Oryctolagus cuniculus: one gene and its partners. The protein of the gene in region 2 binds, or shares a complex with, the protein of the main gene of each other region. Links are inferred from orthologs where the notes say so. Each region holds a gene or a part of one and is shown on either strand. Other genes may lie near its edges.

Evidence for each region.
Region 1: APOOL (region 2) and CHCHD6 share a complex: the UniProt entries of both Homo sapiens proteins name them as parts of the mitochondrial contact site and cristae organizing system (MICOS) complex. The link is inferred for Oryctolagus cuniculus from reciprocal best matches to the Homo sapiens genes APOOL and CHCHD6.
Region 3: APOOL (region 2) and CHCHD3 share a complex: the UniProt entries of both Homo sapiens proteins name them as parts of the mitochondrial contact site and cristae organizing system (MICOS) complex. The link is inferred for Oryctolagus cuniculus from reciprocal best matches to the Homo sapiens genes APOOL and CHCHD3.
Region 4: APOOL (region 2) and IMMT share a complex: the UniProt entries of both Homo sapiens proteins name them as parts of the mitochondrial contact site and cristae organizing system (MICOS) complex. The link is inferred for Oryctolagus cuniculus from reciprocal best matches to the Homo sapiens genes APOOL and IMMT.
Region 5: APOOL (region 2) and MICOS13 share a complex: the UniProt entries of both Homo sapiens proteins name them as parts of the mitochondrial contact site and cristae organizing system (MICOS) complex. The link is inferred for Oryctolagus cuniculus from reciprocal best matches to the Homo sapiens genes APOOL and MICOS13.

The regions. Positions count from the first base shown.
Region 1 is NC_091441.1:109,715,165-109,719,172, reverse strand, and holds part of CHCHD6 (MICOS complex subunit MIC25), read right to left. Parts: intron 2,289-4,008; coding exon 2,168-2,288; intron 1-2,167. UniProt on the Homo sapiens protein: Component of the MICOS complex, a large protein complex of the mitochondrial inner membrane that plays crucial roles in the maintenance of crista junctions, inner membrane architecture, and formation of contact sites to the outer membrane.
Region 2 is NC_091453.1:65,869,125-65,873,682, reverse strand, and holds the start of APOOL (MICOS complex subunit MIC27), read left to right. Parts: upstream 1-1,433; 5' UTR 1,434-1,523; coding exon 1,524-1,538; intron 1,539-4,558. UniProt on the Homo sapiens protein: Component of the MICOS complex, a large protein complex of the mitochondrial inner membrane that plays crucial roles in the maintenance of crista junctions, inner membrane architecture, and formation of contact sites to the outer membrane.
Region 3 is NC_091434.1:168,944,094-168,948,817, reverse strand, and holds the start of CHCHD3 (MICOS complex subunit MIC19), read left to right. Parts: upstream 1-1,837; 5' UTR 1,838-2,008; coding exon 2,009-2,089; intron 2,090-4,724. UniProt on the Homo sapiens protein: Component of the MICOS complex, a large protein complex of the mitochondrial inner membrane that plays crucial roles in the maintenance of crista junctions, inner membrane architecture, and formation of contact sites to the outer membrane.
Region 4 is NC_091433.1:116,582,999-116,587,006, forward strand, and holds part of IMMT (MICOS complex subunit MIC60), read left to right. Parts: intron 1-1,193; coding exon 1,194-1,305; intron 1,306-4,008. UniProt on the Homo sapiens protein: Component of the MICOS complex, a large protein complex of the mitochondrial inner membrane that plays crucial roles in the maintenance of crista junctions, inner membrane architecture, and formation of contact sites to the outer membrane.
Region 5 is NC_091447.1:60,301,804-60,306,111, reverse strand, and holds MICOS13 (MICOS complex subunit MIC13), read left to right. Parts: upstream 1-1,254; 5' UTR 1,255-1,705; coding exon 1,706-1,734; intron 1,735-2,673; coding exon 2,674-2,851; intron 2,852-2,958; coding exon 2,959-3,010; intron 3,011-3,163; coding exon 3,164-3,264; 3' UTR 3,265-3,300; downstream 3,301-4,308. UniProt on the Homo sapiens protein: Component of the MICOS complex, a large protein complex of the mitochondrial inner membrane that plays crucial roles in the maintenance of crista junctions, inner membrane architecture, and formation of contact sites to the outer membrane.

The DNA of each region.
Region 1 (4,008 bases), on a different chromosome or scaffold from region 2:
TCTTAAGGATCTTTAAGATTCTTTGTATATTAAGATTACTAGCACTTTGTCAAATGTTATATTTTCCCTAGTTTATCATTCATTCATTTTTTTCTGTTGTTTCTAATCTCACTCTTCCTACCTTTCTTCTTCGTTTAAGGTTTTTTCACTTGATGAGGTGCTCAGAAAATCTCTTATTATACTTTCACGGCTTCAGTTCTCAGATTTAAGTCTCTTAATTCCTCTAACATTTATTTGGAGGTATGGTGTGAGATAAGGATTTAAATTTAACTTCTTTTTCTAACCTTGTTCCATCACAAAAATAAAAGCAAAAACTAGTTTTACAAGTTAAAAATATCTTAAAATCAGTCAACTTCCAGACGGTGCACTTAGGCTGACTCTCCCCCAGCACTCAAACTCAAAGCTCACTCCCATCCCGTAAACTGCAAAGTCTCTGGTGAGAACTAAGACCGAATGACAAATGAACCACTATTCTTGCTTTGTATAATGCTGAGACTTAACAAAACCAAGGCAAATGCTTATTTTATCTTCCAAAGCTGAAACTGAGGTGTAACCTAGTTTGGCAATTTTCACTTTTCCCATCATTTTCTCCCTCTCAGCAGGCAATCCAGTTTATTAGAATACCCTGGGTCAAGTTATACCCCTCCTCAAACCCTCATCAGTTGGCTAGAGAGGGGTGATGATGAAGCACCCATGGTAAAGTTCTGTCACTTGTAGATCTCCAGACCCAGCTACTGATACGCTTCAAGGCGCACGGGGAGCCCTGCTGCAGGCAGCACCGGGACGGCAGTCAGAGCACCTGGCTCCTGCTCCCTGGCTCGAGGATGAAGCCAGAGCTCTCTGGCTACTGTGTGGAGGTTTCCATGGCCTGGCCCCTAAATAGCACCCCCATGTCTCTCCTTCCCTTAAACTTTACATTCAGAGCAGACCCCTGCACTGGCCTCTGGGCCCCTCCCCCTACTGTTCCCTACCTGAAATGCCCTTCTACCACATTCTATCTTTCAAAATCCTCCCTGAAGTAATGAGCCATTGCCTCCTGTGTGCTACCACCAACCCTGGGCAGCCTTGCACCATGCTACACTAACATAACCACTGGGGTACACATCTGGCCCCTGAGCCAAAGCTGTGTGTGCCACAGACAGGATACCAGCCTGCCTGTCATTATGTCTTAGCATGGAGGCACAGGACCTGGTCCATGAACAGCATTCAAGAAGTGCTAAGTGGACAGGATATAGCTGCTGCCCTCTAACCCTAACAGGGAAGATGAGGAGAGAAGACAGCTCCGCTGGGAGGCAATGCACGAGAACACTCCAGTGCACGGTTATCCACTGTGGCACAGACTTTATCCTCTAGTGGATGGCTACTCCAGACAAATGACATGGTTTTAAACCAAGTTACATGCATAGACAGATCCAGATCCCCATAGAGGGTGCTGGCTGAGCAGAAAAGCAGCAGCTCCAAGGACATTTTTGTTTCGTAGTATCTGTTTTCGTAGCTTATAGCCTCTTTTCTTAAAACGGACTTTGCTTCTTTATGTTTGCTACAAGTAGTTATTTGAGGAAAAGAACAAATTTCTTCATTTGTGATGACATAACAGGGTAGAGATTAAGTCAGCTGGAGCCTGGCTTGGGTGCCAGCTCCACAGGGGGCCAGGGAAGAGGACCCCTCCCGGAGGCCGCGAAAGGACCCCTTGACCTGTGGTTACATGAGAGTTACCGAGGTTGGCACCAAAGTCTTGAGCAAAATTCCTCCTTATTTGGCCCAATTAAAGTAAATCCCTACAGTCCTTTGACTTGAAGCCTGGCTGGATGTCCGGCTGAGGCTCTGTAGTGGTTACATTTCTTTTAAGGATCCTTAGCAGCAACTTCTTACCTGAGTTGTCAAACCCAATCCTTCTGCTCTGTTTTCACAGGTGGAGAGACTGAAACAGAGTGAGGGAAAACAGCCTGGCCCAGGTCCCGAGAGCTCTGACTGAACAGTGCTGCCTTCACTGCCCCAGACAGCGTCTGCCACGCATGGAGAGCCACACGCCCCGCAAGAGTGTTGCTGACATCACCCTGGCACGCACGTGAGCCACACGGGCCGCTCACTGTACTCTGACAAGCAGGTGACTGGTTGTACCCTCCACCCTCTTCCTCCACTCTCCCCGGGGTGCGACCCGCCCTACCTTTCTGTGGGGTGTTTGCACTGCCTCCTGGAGACCCCAACGCAGACGGCGGAGGGGCTTGCTGCTGGCCTGCTGCAGGCTGGCTGGAATCCTTCATGCGGTTAACCACATTTTCAGACAGCTGCAGGAAGGATTGAGGAATGGGAAGAGGGGGACAGGGACAAGTTACACCACAGAAACCTCCAGAAAGGCAGAGTCCCCTGCGTTCACGCCCCAGATTTCCTGAACATACTGCTTCCTCCAGACCCACTCAGAAACCTCTCCTGGTACCCAGAGCCCATCAGGCCAAAGCCAACCCTGTCAGGAATGCCGAGCCTTCCGCAGTACGTCCCGGACTGGCTCCACAGCTTCACCTCCTACCACTCCCAGACGCACGTCCTGCACTCTGCAAAGCTTGAGTTCTCATTTTCTCACCTCCTCGGGGGCCACATATGCTGTTCCCTCGGAACCACCACCAGGCCCCACTTCCCACCCTGGCACGTCAGCACCTGCCTACATCTGACTCTCCCATTTAGGGCACCCGAGCGTTCCCTTCTGCAGAGACCTTTCTCCAACAGCACCCACGTGAAGCATCGCTTTCTCCTCCCTAAACCCCCGTTATGACGTGCGTGCCTCTCAAGGCGGTGCTGCCCCTCCTGCCCTCCCTCCTGCTGGCAGCCCGCGAGGCTCCGTGGGCTAGGGCTGCCCTCACTCATCTCCGTAAACCCTCCGAATCCACACGCGGAGCAGATCATCAGGACGCTGCTAGTCTCATTGCTCCCTATGCCTTTAATGAAGACTGGATCACCAAAACTTCCATTCATTCGAGGGAAGTGAAATAGGCATCAGGGGGTCATTGAACAGTTTACTGAGATGAAACAGCAAGCTGGGGATACATCCGGAATAAAAACCCTTAAGAGTTCACTTCAGTAAATATTTATTAATTGCCTAATATGTGTAAGGCATCATAAAGCACAGTTGAGAGAAGACATTAAATATGACTTCAAGACAAAAGACATGATCAGCAATTCCAGTTCCAGATATCTAACTGAGAAGAGTACTCCCCTGTGTGCACAGAGGCATGTATAAGAAGCTCACTGTGGCACTGGGGGGGGGGGGCAGAATTGGAAACATGAGAGCATCTAACAACAGGAAATTGGCTAAAGAAATTATGGTGGTGGGGCGGGCATCGTGGCGTCGGGCATCGTGGCGTAACAGGTTAAGCAACTGCCTACAATACTGGCATCCCATATGGGCACCGGTTCAAGTCTCAGGTACTCTACTTCTGATCCAACTCTTGCTAATGTGCCTGGGAAAGCAGCAGAAGATGGCCCAAGTGCTTAGGCCCCTGCACCCACATGGGAGACTGAGAGGAAGCTCCTGGCTCCCAGCTGCAGTCTGGCCCAGCCCTGGCCATTGTGGCTATTTGGGGAATGAACCAGAGGGTGGAAAATCTCTCATTTCTCTAACTCTGCCTTTCAAATATATCTTTTAAAATAAAAGAAATTATGGTGTATATTGCCTGAACTATTTAGGAACCATCATGGAAGGGTGTATGCAACACAACTGCTGACTGTTTGAACAGTCAGAAAATCCTTTCTATATCTCAATTTTTGTAAAAAGATATGCACAAGTATAAAATCACAAACTCAGAAATATAGCTAAATGAACAATGTCTTGGCAACCTTGCCTAAAGTCAAATGATCATAGATATAGAAGTTTACTTCTGGGACGGAGCTCCTCCTGGTTGCTGGCTTCAGCTTGCCGAGCCCCAGCTGTTTGTGGCCATCTGGGGAGTGACTCAGTAGATGGAAAGTAACTTCTCTCCCTCTTGCTCTCATTCTGTCACTCAGTCTTTCAAT
Region 2 (4,558 bases):
GCTCTCTGCTATGGCCTGGGAAAGCAGTAGAAGATGGCCCAAGTGCTTGGACCCCTGCACCCACGTGGGAGACCCGGAAGAAGCTCCTGGCTTCGGATCAGCTGTTGTGGTCATTTGGGGAGTGAACCAGTGGAATGGAAAAACTCTCTCTCTCTCTTTGGCTCTACCTCTCTCTGTAACTCTTTCAAAATAAATAAAATAAATCTTTAAAAAATAAGTAAATGAATCAATATTTGGAATGTTTATGGGTACAGTCTGAACCTCTTCTTTCCTCAGAGTTGTTCATAGGGAGCCTAAGGGGATTGATTTTATTGAGAGTGTTGCACCTGCTCATGGCATCTTCCCCTGAGAACACCAAAATGACCCTTTTAAAATGTAATTTAGATCATGTTACAACTTCCAGACTTCCCATCTTATTCAGAATAAAATCCAAATTCTTCATTATGGCACAAACAGCTTCTACAATGTGTTTTATTTTACTGCCTCTGTATTTATCACTCCAGTCACTCTGGTGTTTTTCTTGGCTGTTCCTTCTGCATGTAACACTTTTTATTAAATTCCTTCAGGGTTTTTCTCAATGTTATCAGTCTTTCCCTAATCTACTTAAACCAGTAAAAAACCAGTAAACTCCTACCATATCCCCGCACTACATATTTCATTTTCCTTCCTTTGTATCTCGTTTTCCATAAGCTCTATAAGGGAAGCCACTACAATTCTGCTCTGTACTGGTAATGATCTGTTTGGCAGAGTAGGCGCTCAGTGACAGTTTTTTTTTTTTTTTTTAATTTATTTTATTTATTTGAAAGTTACTCCCCAAATGACCACAACAGCCAGAGCTGAGCTGATCTGAAGCCAGGAGCCAGGAGCCCCTTCCGGGTCTCCCACGCAGGTGCAGGGGCCCAAGCACTTGGGGCATCCTCCACAGCTTTCCCAGGCCATAGCAGAGCGCTGGGTGGGAAGTGGAGCAGCCGGGACTGAAATGGCACCCATATGGGATGCTGGCATTGCAGGCCGCCGCTTTAACTCGCTGCTGCTTTAACTCGCAGCGCCACAGCGCCGGTCCCCTCAGTAACAGTTTTATAATGAGTGAAGGTCCTCGTGTAGGACAGAGTTAACTTGTTCTTTTTGTGACCCTTTTTACTCGCCATTATTTATTAAGGCCGCTGCTGTGCTCGCTTCCGAAGCACATGTATTAAGGCCACTGTTTTAAGTCGTTATCTAGTCAAATCAGACAAAGAAAAATAATGAAAAGTTCTGCACCCAAGAAAATAACTTTTACCTGGGCGGTGGAGGATATTCTTAAAAGTTTTTATCGGGAACTGAGAGGGTCCACCACAAGGATGATCTATGCGAAACTGCCGCTAAACTAACCAAAGCTGCCGCCAAAGCAGCTGTGGGACGGAGAAAGGGCGGAAGCGGGCAGGCGGGCGTAACGGGGCGGGGCTGCCTGAGGGAAAGCCTGTCGAGCTAGTTTGTCCCTCTTCGCTCTCCGTAAGGACACTTGCGCCGAGAGGGTCGTAGATATGGCGGTCGTTAGGGTAAGTGAAAACAAACTTGTTTAGTTTCTTAGAGTGTCGGTAGCGTCCCAGGGATTACAGAAGGTATCGTCTTAACTTCTGAGGGAGTCCTGCAGCAAGGGACAGACTGGATCCGGTATCGTGAGAGTTCTGGAGTCGTTAATGTTTGAAGCTTCGTTACGGCTACTTCTCCCATTTGGCTTTTCCGCGGTCTGGGACACTTCCCGGTCCTCTGTCCCCTGCCGTAAACTGGGAAACGGCTGGGTGAAAATGGCCGGCGCCGCGACGGAGTACCTACCAGCAGGCGTTTGGGTCTAGCGCTGGGACGAAGAGAAAAGAATTCTTAGCATTTGTTTTCGTGCACAGGGCGGGACCTCATGACCCCTTCGAAGGACTTTATTCAAACATTACTTGGCGCAAAACAGACCCACAGTGAGCGGGTTTATACTCTCTGGGTTAGAATAACAAACGTTAAGTGTTTTTGAGGTCTGTAATGGAAAAAGGTGGCTTTACGTAGGAATCCGTTTACAGGAAGTGACTCAGCTGGCTGTTAGCTGCTTGCTATTCTCTAACTAGGTTTTGGTAACAGTTGTCTACAATATTGACATAGCGGGTTGTAAGTGTATGCTATTCTGCCAGGCTTTGCAGGAGATACAAGTATCAATAATTCAGTTCAGTCGAAGTTTATTTTTACAGCAGCTTAGTATCTGTCTTGGCTCATTTTTCGTATTTTCATTTTTGCCTCTCATACTTTATCTGAATTATCGTAACCCTCCTAATTTAACTCTATGTGTAGCCTGGCCCCATGAAATGTATTTTCCCCTGTGTTGTGAGAGTACTTTTACCAAACTGCAAATCTCGTGTTGTCCCTCTCCTGCTTAAAACCCTCTATCAGCACTCCATCATCTGCTGTCTAGGGTCTGGTTACACGCCTATGTCCGGAACACCCAACCCTGCTTTTACTTTCCAGTTTCATCACTTCCCAGGCTCATCTCTTGTCAGGAACCCCCCTTACATCAATATTGAACTACTTCACCATCCATGCCTTTTTACCTACTCTCTCTCTGGGCTTAAAGTACCCTTTCTCGTCCTCATTCAGTTACTTCCTATTTATAGTTCATTCATTTGACAGATACTTGTGTGCAGCCTTTCCATTTCCTAAGCACAGAATGCCTTTTCTGAGACATTGCCTCCAACTTCCATCTGCTGGTCAGTCCCCAAATGGCCGCAAAAGCCCTGGCTGGGACAGGCTAAAGCCAGGAGCCAGGAACTTCATCAGGGTCTCCCACATGGGTGGCAGAGGTTCAAGTGCTTGGGCCATCTTGGGTCAGGCGAATTAGCAAGGAGCTAGATGGGAAACAGAGCAGCCAAGACTCAAAGCAGCAGTCTGATATGGGATGCTAGTGTCTCAGGCTGTTTAACCCATTGCACCACAACAAGTTCTCCCCTAGCCATAGTAGTTCTTGTACTGCAAATAATAGACTACTTACTTATCTTTTCTACTTTCCTAAACCACAGGGTCCTTAAGAAAAATAATTTTATTAATCTTGTATGTTTAGTACCTCGCATAGGTCTGACTTGTATTAGGTACTCAATAATAAGTTCTACATGAATAAATAAGTGCCAGGTGAGGATAAATGAGATTCAATTAAGCAATGGAGATGCAATGTGTAACACAAGGGACTATGATTCAGAGTAAGGGGAATACCTAATCTCAAGATAAGTACAGAGTACTTTGAGAGTTCACAAGAGAAGGAACTCAAATCTGCTTTGAAGAGAATAAAGACTTCATGGAAGAAGTCATGGTCAGTGGTCAAAAAGCAAACCAGACTAATGTTTGTCACGGAAGCCTAGAGAGGGAGAGCCTTGAGCAATCCTTTGATATGACTTTTAAGTCATTGGCAACTACCATTTATTAAGTGCTTATTACAGGCCAGGCACTATGCTAAAACACTCTACCAATGTTAATTCATTTATTTAACATGACTTTATGTATAGATATTATTATTTACCATTTTAAAGATGAAACACTAAGGCTTAGAGAAGTTAACTAATTTTCCCAGTCATATTGCTAATAGGAGTAAGAACTGAAGGGAGATAAAGAGATACAATAATGAGTGGTATAGGGAGAACCTAGATTGTAAGGGGTTAAGGAAAGGATGAGAGAGAACAGGAATTCATTTAGCACTTAACTTCATTCATTTGCTTTACATATATATTTCAGTTAATCCTCTTAGTGAACCAAAGAAATGGGTAGTATACTCATTTTGCAGATGGAAAATTTCATGCTTAGAAAAAGTGCTTGCTCTAGATCATACTTGCTCAGTGGAAGCCCTGGGTTCAAAATTATTTAACTTCTCTAAGCCTTAGTTATTCATTTATAAAATGGTAATTATAATATCTATCACATAAAATCTTGAAAAATAAATAAATTAGCATTTGTAAGTGTTTTGGCATATGACTGGGCTGTATTTGACTCCAATGTCTTTCTACCACTCCTTGCTTTCTCAGGGATGGAGGTGTGTATTACTCCTTAGAGAAGTTTGATGGTGAAAGGAAGGAAAGAACTCTTGGAATAGGAGTAGCAAATTCCAGAAAAAAATCTTTTATTTATTTCTAAATTTTAAAATTTATTTACTTGGGAGAGAAAAAGAGATACAGAGAGTTCCCATCTGCTGGTTCATCCCCCCCAGATGCCTGAAACAGCCAGAGATGGGCCAGACTAAAGCTGGGAGCTGGGAATTCAGTTGAGGTCTCCCAGTTGGATGGCCAGGACCCAAATATGTGAGTAGTTGGAGTCGTCTGCTGCCTCCCAAGCATTAGCAAGAAGCTAGAGTTGCTTTTCTGGGATGCAGATGTCTTAAGCAGCATCTTGATGGCTGGACCAAATCCTCATTTCATTAATTAAAAATAAATCAGGAGCTTTGAGCAAGACAACAAATAAGAATGTGCCAAGAGCTAGTATAAAGCAAAAGATGGTAATAGTAATCACAGTTTATTATGTTATCAAGCATTTACTGTGTGCTGTGCATTTTGCTAAG
Region 3 (4,724 bases), on a different chromosome or scaffold from region 2:
CTGCAACTCTTTCAAATAAATAAACACAACTTTTTTAAAAAGGAAGAAAGATTTAAACATATTATGTAACTTGAGACCAAGTGAAGAGTAGCAAATCATCTCAAAACTGCAACATAACAGTGTAATTTGGATTCTATGTGTTGGAAAGAACATGCTGATGATAAGATGATGTGATGGAGTCAATACCCATGTAATGGACCAGAGATACAGAAATTAAGGGCATGGTTTCTTCCTCTAGTATCTGATATAGCACCTGGGAAGCCTGCGTCCTAGGTTGGAGTGCCTTACTGGAGTTCTGATATTTCACTGCCAATTAGCTTCCTGCTGTTGTGGATCCTGAGGCAGAGGGTGATGGCTTGGGTACTTGGGTCCCTGCCATCCACAGGGGAGACCTGAATTGAGTTCCAGCCCCCTGGCCTGAGCCTAGCCCATCCCTGGCTTTTGCAGGCAAGTGGGAGTGAGCCAGTGGATGGAAGATCTTTCTGTCTCTGTCTTTGCTTCTGCCTTTCAAACAAAGAGAAAATGAATAAGTGATAAATTATTATTGTTGATGTCTGACACACAAGGTGTCATGGCCTGCTGTTGATAATGTTGAAAGCGGCCACCTGAAGGTAGTGCATATTTTCATTACTTTTGTAAGGACAAGGGTCATGGGGCCAGCACTGTGCCACACCAGGTGCTAGTTTGAGTCCTGGCTGGTCCACTTCCAAACAGCTCCCTGCTGATGGGCCTGGGAAAGCAGCAGAAGGTGACCCAAGTCCTTGGGCCCCTGCACCCACATGGGAGACCTGGAAGAAGCTCCTGGCTCCTGGCTTTGGTCTGGCTGAGCCCTGGCCATTGCAGCCATCTGGGGAGTGAACTAGCACATGGAAGACATTTCTCTCTCTCTCTCTCTCTCGTTCTCACTCTCGCTCTCTCCCTCTACCTCTTTGTAATTCTTGCCTTTCAAATAAATAAATAAATAAATCTTAAAAAAAGAACTAGGGTCGTATGGCTAATGTGGAGCAAAGTGTTAAGCAAAAAAATTGTAAGGATGTAGGTGGAACTTGAAAATTGTTTACTGGTCTTGTAGAAATGAAATACTCTAGTGAACCAGAAACTTTCCAAGATGGATTCTCTCAACTTTGCCTGCTGTGGTTTCCATAGTCCCACTAACTTATACTATTCTTCTCTTCGTAACTGTGTTATGGTCCAAGGTATATAACAGAAGTGGAAGGAGACACAAACTTGGAAACCGAATTCCGTATACGGAGTATAATGTACTTTTCGTGTTTTCTCATTTGTAGATTTTATAACGACAGCATTTAAGTTTTCACTTTACAAGAAGAAATCAAACATCTACATAGTTTATGAAATGGGGATACAGGAAAATGCATTTTTTTTAATGACTCAGACTAAAATAATGAGCTGCTAACTTCTACTTCAGGGATTTGTATTTACAGGAAGCTGTGCATCTCCCCCATGAACCTGAGATCCGTTAAGAACGAGCTTGCGTCTTTGACCTCACTCTGCTGAGTTTTCAGGATAACGTCTTCAAAGCATGCTTGAGCGATGATTGCACTTCTTCCAAGCTGCCCAGAGAGCAACCCCTTCTGGAGGGAAAGACTACAACTCCCAGCATGCCTTGCGTCCTCCGGGACGAGGCAAGAGAGTCCCACCACCCCTCGTGCCCGATAGGGACTACAATTCCCACTTCACCCGGGAGCTCCGGAAACTTGTCAAACAGCACCTGTTGCCATAGCATCCGGGTCCAGGCCAGCCAATTCCAGCACCCTCCGCCGAGTGGAGGCGGGCCCTTCGCGGCTCTGACCAATCGGAGGTGTAGCTGTTTCGGCACGTGACCGGAGGAGGCGGGAACTCAGACCGGCGCCTTCTCCTTGCTCCTTGGGGTCGTGGCCTTGCTCCCGTGCAGCCCGGGAAGGGTCCCGGCACGTTGGCGCGCGTGTGCGCGGAGTTGTGAAGCGCTCGTGGTCCGTGCTGGATCCGTGCAGGAGCGGGGTCAGGAGCCATGGGCGGGACCGCCAGCACCCGCCGGGTCACCTTCGAGGCGGACGAGAATGAGAACATCACCGTGGTGAAGGGCATCCGGGTGAGTTCCGGCGGGCGGGCGGCCCACGGCTCGGACCCCTGCCCTGCGTTTCCTGGACCCGCTCTGCTGCCCGCTGCTCGGACCCCCAGCCAGGCCTTCCCTGCACCTCACCGGCCCGAAGCCGGCCTTGGGGAGGATGCGGGAGTTTGACTTCTCCGGGCGTTCGTGCAGAGGCCCTGGGCCGGGTGAGGGGTGCAGTGCGGGGCGGCCGCGGCGCGCCGGGTGCCCCGAGACCCTCCGCTGGCCTTGCCCTGCTCGGCGGTCTCGGGGGCTTCCTCGCTGCCCCTCGCCGCCCTGGCCCCGTCTGTGCAGCGGGTCCGGTGTCACTCCCCTTGGCTCGGGGCCCGCAGCCCGCTTTCCCGCGGGCACAGGCTCCCTCCCCGGGTGCGCTGCCGCCGCCGGCTCGCCTGCCTCGGCTTCCAGTCCTTCCTTGAGCGCGCTCCCACCGGGGCCACCCCTTGCCCTGGCTCGCGCCTCCGCCGCCCCCGCCGCTTCCCGTTCTCTCGGTCTCTGCGCTTTCCCGGGCGCTGCCTCTGTGACCTGTGGCTCCCGGGACTGGTGCCTGCCGGCCGGGCCCGGGCTGGGATAGGCCTGCGAGGTTTCAGAGCTCTGAGAGGTGATAGCGAGTTCTCTTACGCCCTCTCCACGTACTTGGCGCCTGAACTCAAACTTGACTTTGCTCCAGGGAGTCAGCACACCAGCACTCACTTCACTTAACACGCTCTCCGCTGCAAGGACCAGCCTGCATCCGGGAAATAAAGCCATGTGGACTTCAGGGTGTCTTAAGATACTTTGTATTTTCCCTCCCCTGCTGTCCTGTCACACAACCAGTCTCAATGAATGTATTTACTGTTGTGTTACCGGGAAATAAAACTTACTAAATACGCACAGTGTTGAACTCTTTTTGGTCTGTGACCAAGGTTTCTTGATTCATTAACAACAGTGCTGCATTTTGCGATATAGCATCTGAGGCTGCATTCTTGTGTTCTTGGTGGTTTAGTTGCTCCTCCTTGGAGTACAATAAAAAGGACTGGAAACTCTGAGTTTTATGCAGAGATTTAAAAAAAAAATCTTGCCTTTAGGCTGTGGGTGTTCCACCTCTGAGGGTGAAAGAGGAAAGGCAGCACAAGATAAGTTTTAGGTGAGAAGATTTTAGTTAGGAAAATGTGTGTCACTCTAACACAGACACAGGGGGACAGCAGACAGAACTGGCGGCGAGTCTGGCCACAGCTCAGAGATGCCTAGCGAGTATGAAGATGGAGGAAGGTGGCAGTGGGGATGTGTGTTCTCCTGAAATGGAAAGGTGCTCTAAAAATCTGCGTTTCAGAACTTGAAGAAGTATCTTTCTTGGATAGAAAACTTGACGAGTGCATTCTTCAGTTTTTTCTTTTTCCTTCTCCGATATTACGTCTTATGTTTGCTCCTTCAATTCGAGCTCACGCCATGCTCCTTGCAACCTCTCTGTGTTTTTTTCATAGCACGCCCTTCACCTAGATGCCCTTACACTGTTTGCTGTGGCGTCAAGTGCTTCTGCTGCAGGGCGGGTTGGCGGTCTCTGCACTTCGGTTTCCTTATCTGTAAGAGGATGGGGCAGGATCTCAGATCTCTGGTCGTCTGAAATTCTGTGACCCTCGTGCCACTGTCTGTGTCCTGTGGCCTTCCTCAGCGCCGTGCAGTTTCCTCTGGAAATGACACGCGGTGGAATCATTGAGTACTGAGAGGTCACTCTGATTGCTTTGAAGTTATTGTCAGAAGGGTGCCAACGTACAGTTAAACAGCCCTCAGTTTAAATCTTGGGTCAGCTATTTATTAGCCCGTGACCTTGGACAAGGCACGTGTCTGATCATATTTGCTGTCCATAAAGGGGAACACGGTTGCTTCTGTCTTGTGCTGGAAAGATGAGGTACGTTCTTTGCTTCTGGCCCTCTGTAGGTTTTATTAAAGGCTGCCATCGGCCAGCACTGAAGCTCACTGGGCTAATCCCCTGCCTGTGGCCCCAGCACCCTGGGTTCTAGTCCCGTTCGGGGCGCCAGATTCTGTCCTGGTTGCCCCTCTTCCAGTCCAGCTCTCTGCTGTGGCCCAGGAGTGCAGTGGAGGATGGCCCAAGTGCTTGGGTCCTGCACCCCATGGGAGACCAGGAGAAGCACCTGGCTCCTGGCTTCGGATGGGCAGGCCATAGCAGCCATTTGGGGCGGCGAACCAACGGAAAGGAAGACCTTTCTCTCTGTCTCTCCCTCTCACACTGTCTAAATCTGCCTGTCCAAAAAACAAAACAAAACAAAAAATACAAAAAGGCAGCCATCATTTCACAGGGATTCTGTATTATAGTGGAAAGAGAATACCGTGAAGGAAAGCAGACTTGAGCTTGGATCCTAGCTCCGCCTCTCAGAAGCTGGGTGGCTCTGGACAAGGCACTTTTGATTGTAAATCTAGATTTTGGCACTTGTCTGAGGATTTGACGTCATGTATGTGAGCATCTGACAGTGCCTTGTGGCTGTCAGGAGAACCGTTGAGGGAATGGCTACATTAACTCATGCAAACTTAGGTAAGACATGTACGCACGAGTGGACTGGGAAGTGAGTTGCTGGCTTCTGGCTGTCGCCTGCGTGCTTTTTGTCTAGGTATTTTGTAGGTT
Region 4 (4,008 bases), on a different chromosome or scaffold from region 2:
TTTCCAAGAAATTATCTTGCAGATAACATACAACAGCACTTTTTATTTATTTGGATGTTCATTGATTCAGTGTTTGTGAGACAAAATAAACAACTGGAATGTTGAATGGTTGACTAAATTCTGAGATAGTCTCTTTTTTTTTTTTTTTTTTTTTTTTTTTTTTTTTTTTTTTTAAGTTTTAAGCTTTTTATTCAGTGAGAGAAATGTATAGGAGAGTGAGGGCCCTATCTAAAAGAGAGAGGGAAATCTGGGTTCATACCAAGTACCAGGAGCCAGCCATGTGGAAGAGCATGGAGGGCCAGGAAGCATGGGGTGGGTGGCCTGAGGGCCATGCGCCCCAAAGGTGCAGGACAGCAAGGCCCGCAATGCACAGGGGTGGAGGGAGAGGTTTCAGGCCGGGGCTTCCTGAGCTAGCTGGAAGGGAAAGGAGCAATGAAGAGACCATGTAAAACCACTGATGTATGCAAGTATTGCTTTGCTTGTTTCAGTGAGCCTGTGTTTCCTAATTTAGGAATGATAATGTTTTATTAAAAATAAAAGGGATATATTTCTTGTAGTTTCCTGTGGGTAAGTAGTCATCTTAGGGATATCTGAGACATGCTGCCAGGTTCTGACAAAATGTGAGACATCACAGATGGTAAATAAAATATTTCTGTTACTCCTTAACTTTCTCTGGCACATCTCTGGAAGTCTTTTATGGATAGTACCTTAAATCTAAGGCAGGTAGTAACTGGAAAAGAGAAAAGCAAGCATTACTCACAAATTGATGTGTAATTGCATGAATCCTGGAGATTAAAGAAACAAAAACTGATTTTCATTTTTACTCAGATTCTGTAGTAAACTTTGTTTCTGACACTGTAATTTGATTTAGAAAGTAAATAGAAACACCTGCTTGTTGTATTTGTAAAAGAATCTTTAAGGGGAAGGGCATATGTATACTTTATTGTTTGTCCTAAAAGAACCTTTTGTTAGTACTAAAATATGCATTAGTGATTTGGAATAGAATTTTTGAACTGCAAATTTTCTAGTAATGATGACTTTTCTTACTGTGATTAATAAAATGCTTTTGTTGTAAAGCACTCATAATTTCATATTAAAAGCCTGAAAGACTTGACCTTTGAAATATTATAAATTGTTGTGTGCTGTCTTTTAGAAACAGTATTATATGTAAATTTTTTTTTTTTCCCCTCAAGATTCAGTCTGGTCCACTAAAAATCTCCAGTGTATCAGAGGTAATGAAAGAATCTAAACAGCCCGCCTCACAACTTCAGAAACACAAAGGAGATACTCCAGCTTCAACAACAGGTACTTCTATCTAAAACCATTCTTTAAAAATTATGGGGAAATGAATTGTTTTGATGTATTTGTCAAGAGAAGGCCCCCGGGGAAGGACTCTTCTGGTCCCCAGCTCTCACAAGTCATTCTTGTGCTCAGTTTCAGAGTTGAACATAGCATTGAGCTTTATTATGAAGAACTGAGTGAGGAAACAGTATAGGTTGTCTGGCCTGAAACATATTTATCTTTTTTTCCCTCTGACTCCTAGACTTTTCGCCTCTTTGGGTTTTAAGATTTATTCTCCCCCACCCCCCACCTCTTTTATCTACCTCTTCAGCAGTTCTTTAAGTAATCAAAGTGTCTTTTTGTAGTTCCTGCAGATATATTTTATCTTTGGGTTTCCCAGTAAACCCACCCTAATTTACAACTTGCCTAACTCTAACATGTTCAACATGAATTCAGTCTCCTTGGCTTTCTCCATAGTGAAACTTGTCCTTGATTCAATCAGATGTTTGTTGGCAGATGGTTCACTTAGTGTTATGTGCAGTCTTCTAGGCACCATTGGGTATAGTAATCAACAAAATCATTTTAGAAACAAAAAACCTCTGCTAATATTTCTTGGTGGGATTAAGGGAAAGAGATCAAGTAAAATGTCAGTATGAGAAGGGGAGTATTGCAGTTTTAAATGGAGTGGGTGAGAAAAGCCTCACTTGGAAAGTGTTACTTGAGGAAAGGCTAGAAAGAGAGAAGGGAGTAAGTCATGTAAAAAGCTGGTGGGGAGGCATCCCAGGCAGAGAAGCTAGTGGAAAGAGGCTTATTCAAGTGAGAAGCAGATAACGCTGGAGTAGAGTGAGTGTGGGACGCACAGCAGCAAATCCTACCAGAGAGGGAGCAGAAGGCCTGTTGTGGCAGTCAGTACTTGAAGCAGTGCTAAGAGATTTCATTTCTGAGTGGTGTGAAGAGGTGTTGGAGGGTGCTAAGCCAGGAGGCTAATACTTGACTTGAATTTTTGTAAGATCACTCTGGCTGTTGTGAACCAAGAAGGGACTGAGGGCAGAAGCAGGGAAGCTAGTTAATGAGTTTTTAACTGAGACCTTCAATTTAAAAAAGGAAACTGCATCCATTGGTTCCTCCTCCCATTCCGTCCCTAGAATTACTTCTTTTTCTTTTCCATCAAAACTTGTCATTAAAGTTGCAAGCCCTTGATTTTTAAAACTCTCTATGAAGTGTTTCTATTAAATGACTTCTGCTCCTAATTTACTGCCATCACTGTGAACTTTTCTTCTTGTATTTGAGTGTCATCTTGTTCCTGATCAGATGTCTTCTTTCAGTATCTACTATTCTTCAGAGTAATTGAAATTATTCTTTGGTCCGGGCCAGTGCTGTGGCTCAGTGGGTTAACGCCCTGGCCTGAAGCGCTGGCATACCATATGGGCGCCGGTTCGAGTCCCGGCTGCTCCACTTCCGATCCAGCTCTCTGCTGTGGCCTGGGAAAGCCGTAGAAGATGGCCCAACTGCTTGGGCCCCTGCACCCACAAGGGAGACCCGGAAGAGGCTCCTGGCTCCTGGCTTCGGATCAGTGCAGCTCCGGCCGTTGCGGCCATCTGGGGAGTAAACCAGTGGCTCTCCTCTGTCTGTGTAACTCTGACTTTCAAATAAATAAATCTTTAATAAAAAGAACAATTACTTGTGACACATTTTAAAAAGAAATTATTCTTTGGTAAATTTTGCTTTCTTTTGTGACCCTTCTTTATTACAGACTCTTTTCCTTCATTATTCTCTTTCCATGTTACAGAAATCTGATGTCTACTTCCTACATGTTTTTTTTTTTTTAAAGATTTATTTATGGCCGGCGCCGCGGCTCACTAGCTAATCCTCCGCCTAGCGGCGCCGGCACACCAGGTTCTAGTCCCGGTTGGGGCGCCGGATTCTGTCCCGGTTGCCCCTCTTCCAGGCCAACTCTCTGCTGTGGCCAGGGAGTGCAGTGGAGGATGGCCCAGGTGCTTGGGCCCTGCACCCCATGGGAGACCAGGAAAAGCACCTGGCTCCTGGCTCCTGCCATCGGATCAGTGCAGTGCGCCGGCCGCAGCGGCCATTGGAGGGTGAACCAACGGCAAAGGAAGACCTTTCTCTCTGTCTCTCTCTCTCACTGTCCACTCTGCCTGTCAAAAAAAAAAAAAAAAAAAAAAAAAGATTTATTTATTTATTTGAAAGTCAGTTACACAGAGAGAAGAGGCAGAGAGAGAGAGAGAGAAAGAGAGGTCTTCTCATCTGCTGGTTCACTCCCCAGTTGGCTGCAACAATTGGAGCTGCGCTGATCCGAAGCCGGGAGCCAGGAGCTTCTTCTGGGTCTCCCACGGGTGCAGGGGCCCAAGGACTTGGGCCATCTTCTACCACTTTCCCAGGCCATAGCAGAGAGCTGGATGGGAAGTGGAGCAGCTGGGACTCAAACCCCAGGCCTATATGGGATGCTGGTGGCACTACAAGCGGCGGCTTTTCCCACAGTGCCGGCCCCATACTTCCTTACATGGTAAGGATTAGTACTGTTACTGGAAGTCTTGCCTGAGTGTAATGATAGTTAAAATGCAGATGAATGTTGACAAGACTTCTTTGTCTTAGTGCTTTTCCAACTATCATTCAATTTGTGTGAGTTTGTGTTTGCAGTGCATGGTGCCCCTGTTTGTATATTATTCAGATGTATGGCATTACATGCCTTTGTGTTTTTAAGGAGTC
Region 5 (4,308 bases), on a different chromosome or scaffold from region 2:
ACACACCCTCGGAGCCACCCACCCGCCTGGGAGCCCCCGGAGTGGGCTCCTTCTGCCTGGCCCAGCCTTTATGGTGGGGCCGTCTGGGGAGTGAGCCAGGGGCTGAGAGCAACCTCTTCCCAGCTCCGCACCCCGCCCTGTCCTTCAAGCTTTCAAATGCATTGTATAAATAAATTAAATAACACACACACCCCTTGTGAAAAAAGAAAGGGAGAAACAGCCCAGGTTCATAGGGGAGTCTGTCCTGCGCAGGCACCGGCCCATCACGCCTGGGTGGGTCGGGGTCTGTCTAAAGAAGCCACGGGCAGACAGGAGCTCAAAGATGCCCAAGGCAGAGGCGGCCCAGGGGGCGCAGGGCAGATGGGGGGGATCCCTCAAGTCTCCAATCTCCAGATCCAGGCCCGAGTCCTGAGACCCCGCTCAGCGGCTGACCCCAACCCGCCTCTCCCAGGCCCCAGCGTGCCCCAAGTACACGGTGCGGGGGCCCAGGTGCTGGCCTCGCCTCCTCCCACGCTGTCGCCCACCACGCACGGCCTCCGGGTCTCAGCAACGCCCCTACAGGAACCCCCGACCCTCTTCTCCCGCGCAGACTCCGGACCCCGCCTCCTGCTGGACCTGGGGCGGGGGCGCCAATGGCCTGGCCCCGCCCACCTGTCGCTGCACCTGTCCGCTCTCAGTGGCAGCTTCCGGTCAGGCCGACCCCTTCCCAGGCCCAGGTCAGCGCACGAAGCCCCTCGGCAGGGGCCTCTTCCCAGCCCCCGCCCCGCCCGCAGCAGCCAGGCAGAGTGGACGATGTGAGATGGACAGAGATGGGCGGACCGACAGTGGCCAGCGGGGATGAGGGAGGAGTGGGGGGCCGGAGCTTTCCCCCTGGACAATGGGGACCCACCGCGCGCCCCCAGCTGCGCACTCACCCACTCGGGCCTGTTTGCCCCAGTGTCCGGCGAGGCTGGGGTCCTGGCCTGGGAGTCACGCCAACGCCCTGAGGGTCTCCCTTCCCAGCCCAGTGCGGCCGGGCCCCCGACCGCGCCCCCTCCCGTAGGGCCCGAGTCACGTGACGCCAAACCCACCTCCTCGGGGGGAGGGGCCGGGCCGCCAGGACTCCGCGCCCCCCGTTGCCTGGCAACGGCCTCCGCCCGCCCAACTCCCGGCCACCCGCGCCGTGGCCCCGCCCCCGGGGCGGAAGTTCCGAACGGCGCGCGATCACGTGACCGAGGGCCCGCCTCTCGCCCACAATCCCGCCCTGGCGTTGCCGGGACAACCACCTTCTCGGCGCGGGCTCCCTAGGTCGAAGGCTTTTGTCTCCCGCGCGGGCGCGGCTGACTTCGCCTCTGACCCCTTCTTGGTCACCCTTAGGCTTCACTCCAGACCCCCTACGTCTCTTTCCACGCACGGACGCCGGGGTAGGACCAAACTACATTTCCCAGGAGGCTTCGCGGCCCAGCGAGTTCACGGGGCGGTACTGACTACACTTCCCAGACGGCCTTGCGGCTCCCGGGTCGCCCACACAGCTTACATTTCCCAGAAGCCTCTCTGCCCGTAGGACCCTCGCTAGTCCTTCTCCCGAGTCTCAGAGGCTTTAGCGGGACTTCGACTCCCGGAGGCCTTTGCGGCTGACAGGAAAGACTACAGGTCCCGGCGTCCTCTGCGCACCGCGAGCGGAAGCGGCGGGCAGTGTGGTGTCCTTGCGCGGAGCCGAGCGACCATGGTGGCCCGAGTGTGGTCGCTGATGAGGTTCGTGGGGCGGCCGGGCGGGGTCCCGAACCCCCGAGAGAGTCCCCGTCAGGACCCCCACCCCGCCTGTCCGGTTGGCTCGCGGTGGTCTGCTCCCCGCTCAGATAGGAGCGCAGACTGGTCGGAAGCCACCGGGGGTCGCGGTCGCCCCTTCCCGCCGCCTGTGTGCCGTGAGGCCGGGGCGGGGAGTCCCGCATTGGGGTCCCCCGGGAGGCCAGGGTGCCCACTGCCCCTGCCCTGTACCGTGGGGCCGGCGCGGGGAGTCCCGCATTGGCGTCCCCCGGGAGACCAGGGTGCCCGCTGCCCCTGCCCTGTGCCGTGGGGCCGGCGCGGGGAGTCCCGCATTGGCGTCCCCCGGGAGGCCAGGGTGCCCACTGCCCCTGCCCTGTGCCGTGGGTTCGGGGGCAGGGAGTCCCGCATTGGCGTCCCCCGGGAGACCAGGGTGCCCGCTGCCCCTGCCCTGTGCCGTGGGGCCGGCGCGGGGAGTCCCGCATTGGCGCCCTCCGGGAGGCCAGGGTGCGCGCTGCCCCTGCCCTGTGCCGTGGGGCCGGCGCGGGGAGTCCCGCATTGGCGTCCCCCGGGAGACCAGGGTGCCCGCTGCCCCTGCCCTGTGCCGTGGGGCCGGCGCGGGGAGTCCCGCATTGGCGCCCCCCGGGAGGCCAGGGTGCGCGCTGCCCCTGCCCTGTGCCGTGGGGTCGGGGTCGGGGAGTCCCGCATTGGCGTCCCGGGAGGCCAGGGTGTGCACTGCCCCTGCCCTGTGCCGTCGGCCGGCGCGGGGAGCCCCGCATTGGCGCCCCCCGGGAGGCCAGGGTGCGCGCTGCCCCTGCCCTGTGCCGTGGGGCCGGCGCGGGGAGTCCCGCATTGGCGTCCCCCGGGAGGCCAGGGTGCGCGCTGCCCCTGCCCTGTGCCCTCCCTGAGCGCCCACCTCCCGCGCCGCAGGTTCCTCCTGAAGGGCAGCGTGGCCGGGGGCGCCGTCTACCTGGTGTATGACCAGGACCTGCTGGGGCCCAGCGACAGGGGCGAGGCGGCGCTGCGCAAGGCCGAGGAGGTGGTGCCGCCGGCCGTGTACCAGCTCAGCCAGTACGTGTGCCAGCAGACGGGCCTGCAGGTGCCCCAGGTACTCGGCCGCGCGCCCTCTCCGGCTCAGGCCGTGCGCGGGGCTGGGGCGCCCTCCCCCCCACCCCGACCCCGCTCACCGGCCCGTGCCCCTCCCCCTCCCCGCAGCTCCCGGCTCCTCCCAAGATCAGCTTCCCCATCCGAGAGACCTGGGATAAAGGTAGGTGCGCGCCCCGCCCCTGGGGACCACCCCTCTTCCTGCGCTGTGTGTCTCCCGTGGATCTCGAGGCGAGGGGGGGAGGGGCGGCTGGGCCGTGCCTCAGTTTCCCCGCTGGTCTCCAAAGCCCGGTGCCCGGCCCCGCCTCCCCCGCAGGCATCCTCACGGTGATGGCGGCTCTGTCTGCGGCCCCGGCCAAGGCCCGCGAGTACTCCAGGGAAGGCTGGGCGTACGTGCGGGAGCGCACCAAGCAGTGAGCGGCCCGGCCGGCCCAATAAAGGCCTCTGCACTTGCCCCTGACCCGCTGCTGGCCCGGGCGCCGCGGGGGGGGGGGGGGGGGGCTGGGAGCCCGCCTGGGGCCGGCCCTGCGCCGGTGGGTGGGGCCAGGGTGGGCTCGGCTCTCGGAGGCGGGGGGCGTGCCAAGGCCCTCCTGCCCTACCAGGGCGGGCAGTGTCCCTTCTGGCGGCCCTGGGGGTCCGCAGCACCCCTCGCCACGCAGCTCTGTGACCATGGAGGTCTCTCGTGGGGTGTGGCAGCTGGCGGCTGCGGGGGGAGGGGCTGCACCCGAGGCCATCAGCCCCTCCATGGGGACAGGGGAGGGGTGGGCCCAGAGGCCCGCACTAGGCGCTAGGCAGGGCGGCCGAGTGGCCACGTGGCCGGGACCGCTGGCGGCCGTGAGCTCGGGGGGCTGAGCCGGCGCTGGGGGGCACCGCGGCTGCCCCTGGGGGGTCGTGGTCACTGCACCTGCCTGCGGGCCTGGCGCAGCCCCCGGCGATTTACCCCGAGTGACCCCTCACCGCAGGATGTGGTGGGTGAGCCCCGGGGAATCCTGGGACACACCCCCGGGGGCCAGCGCGCCCCACGTCGCGGTTGTGGCTTGGGTGGCCCTGAGGCGCGCGCCCTGCACTTTCTCGGCACTCGGAGCCGGGTGGGCACCGGAAGTCAGGACAGGCGGGAGCCCGCCCCAGAGCGCCCAGTCCTAAAGCCTCGGGCAGCCACGCACAGGCCACCTCTGGTGTGTGGTAGAAACTCGGGGAGGCAGTTTGAGATCCACGCACGCGAGGAGTGTTCCGAAGACCCACGGGGCGGGGCAGCCCACCTGGGGAGGGGACTAGCGGATGGAAGACTTGGCTAACCCAGCCTTCAGACAAGTCGGTGTTGGCCCGAGGGAACACAGGGTGTGGGTCCCCACGTCAGTGTCCCACGTCCCCGTGAGTGCACAGCCTGGGAGGCGGCAGCAACGGCCCTGCCCCCACGTGGGAGCCCCGGGTGGAGCGGGTGGCCCTGCCCCGATGTGGGCC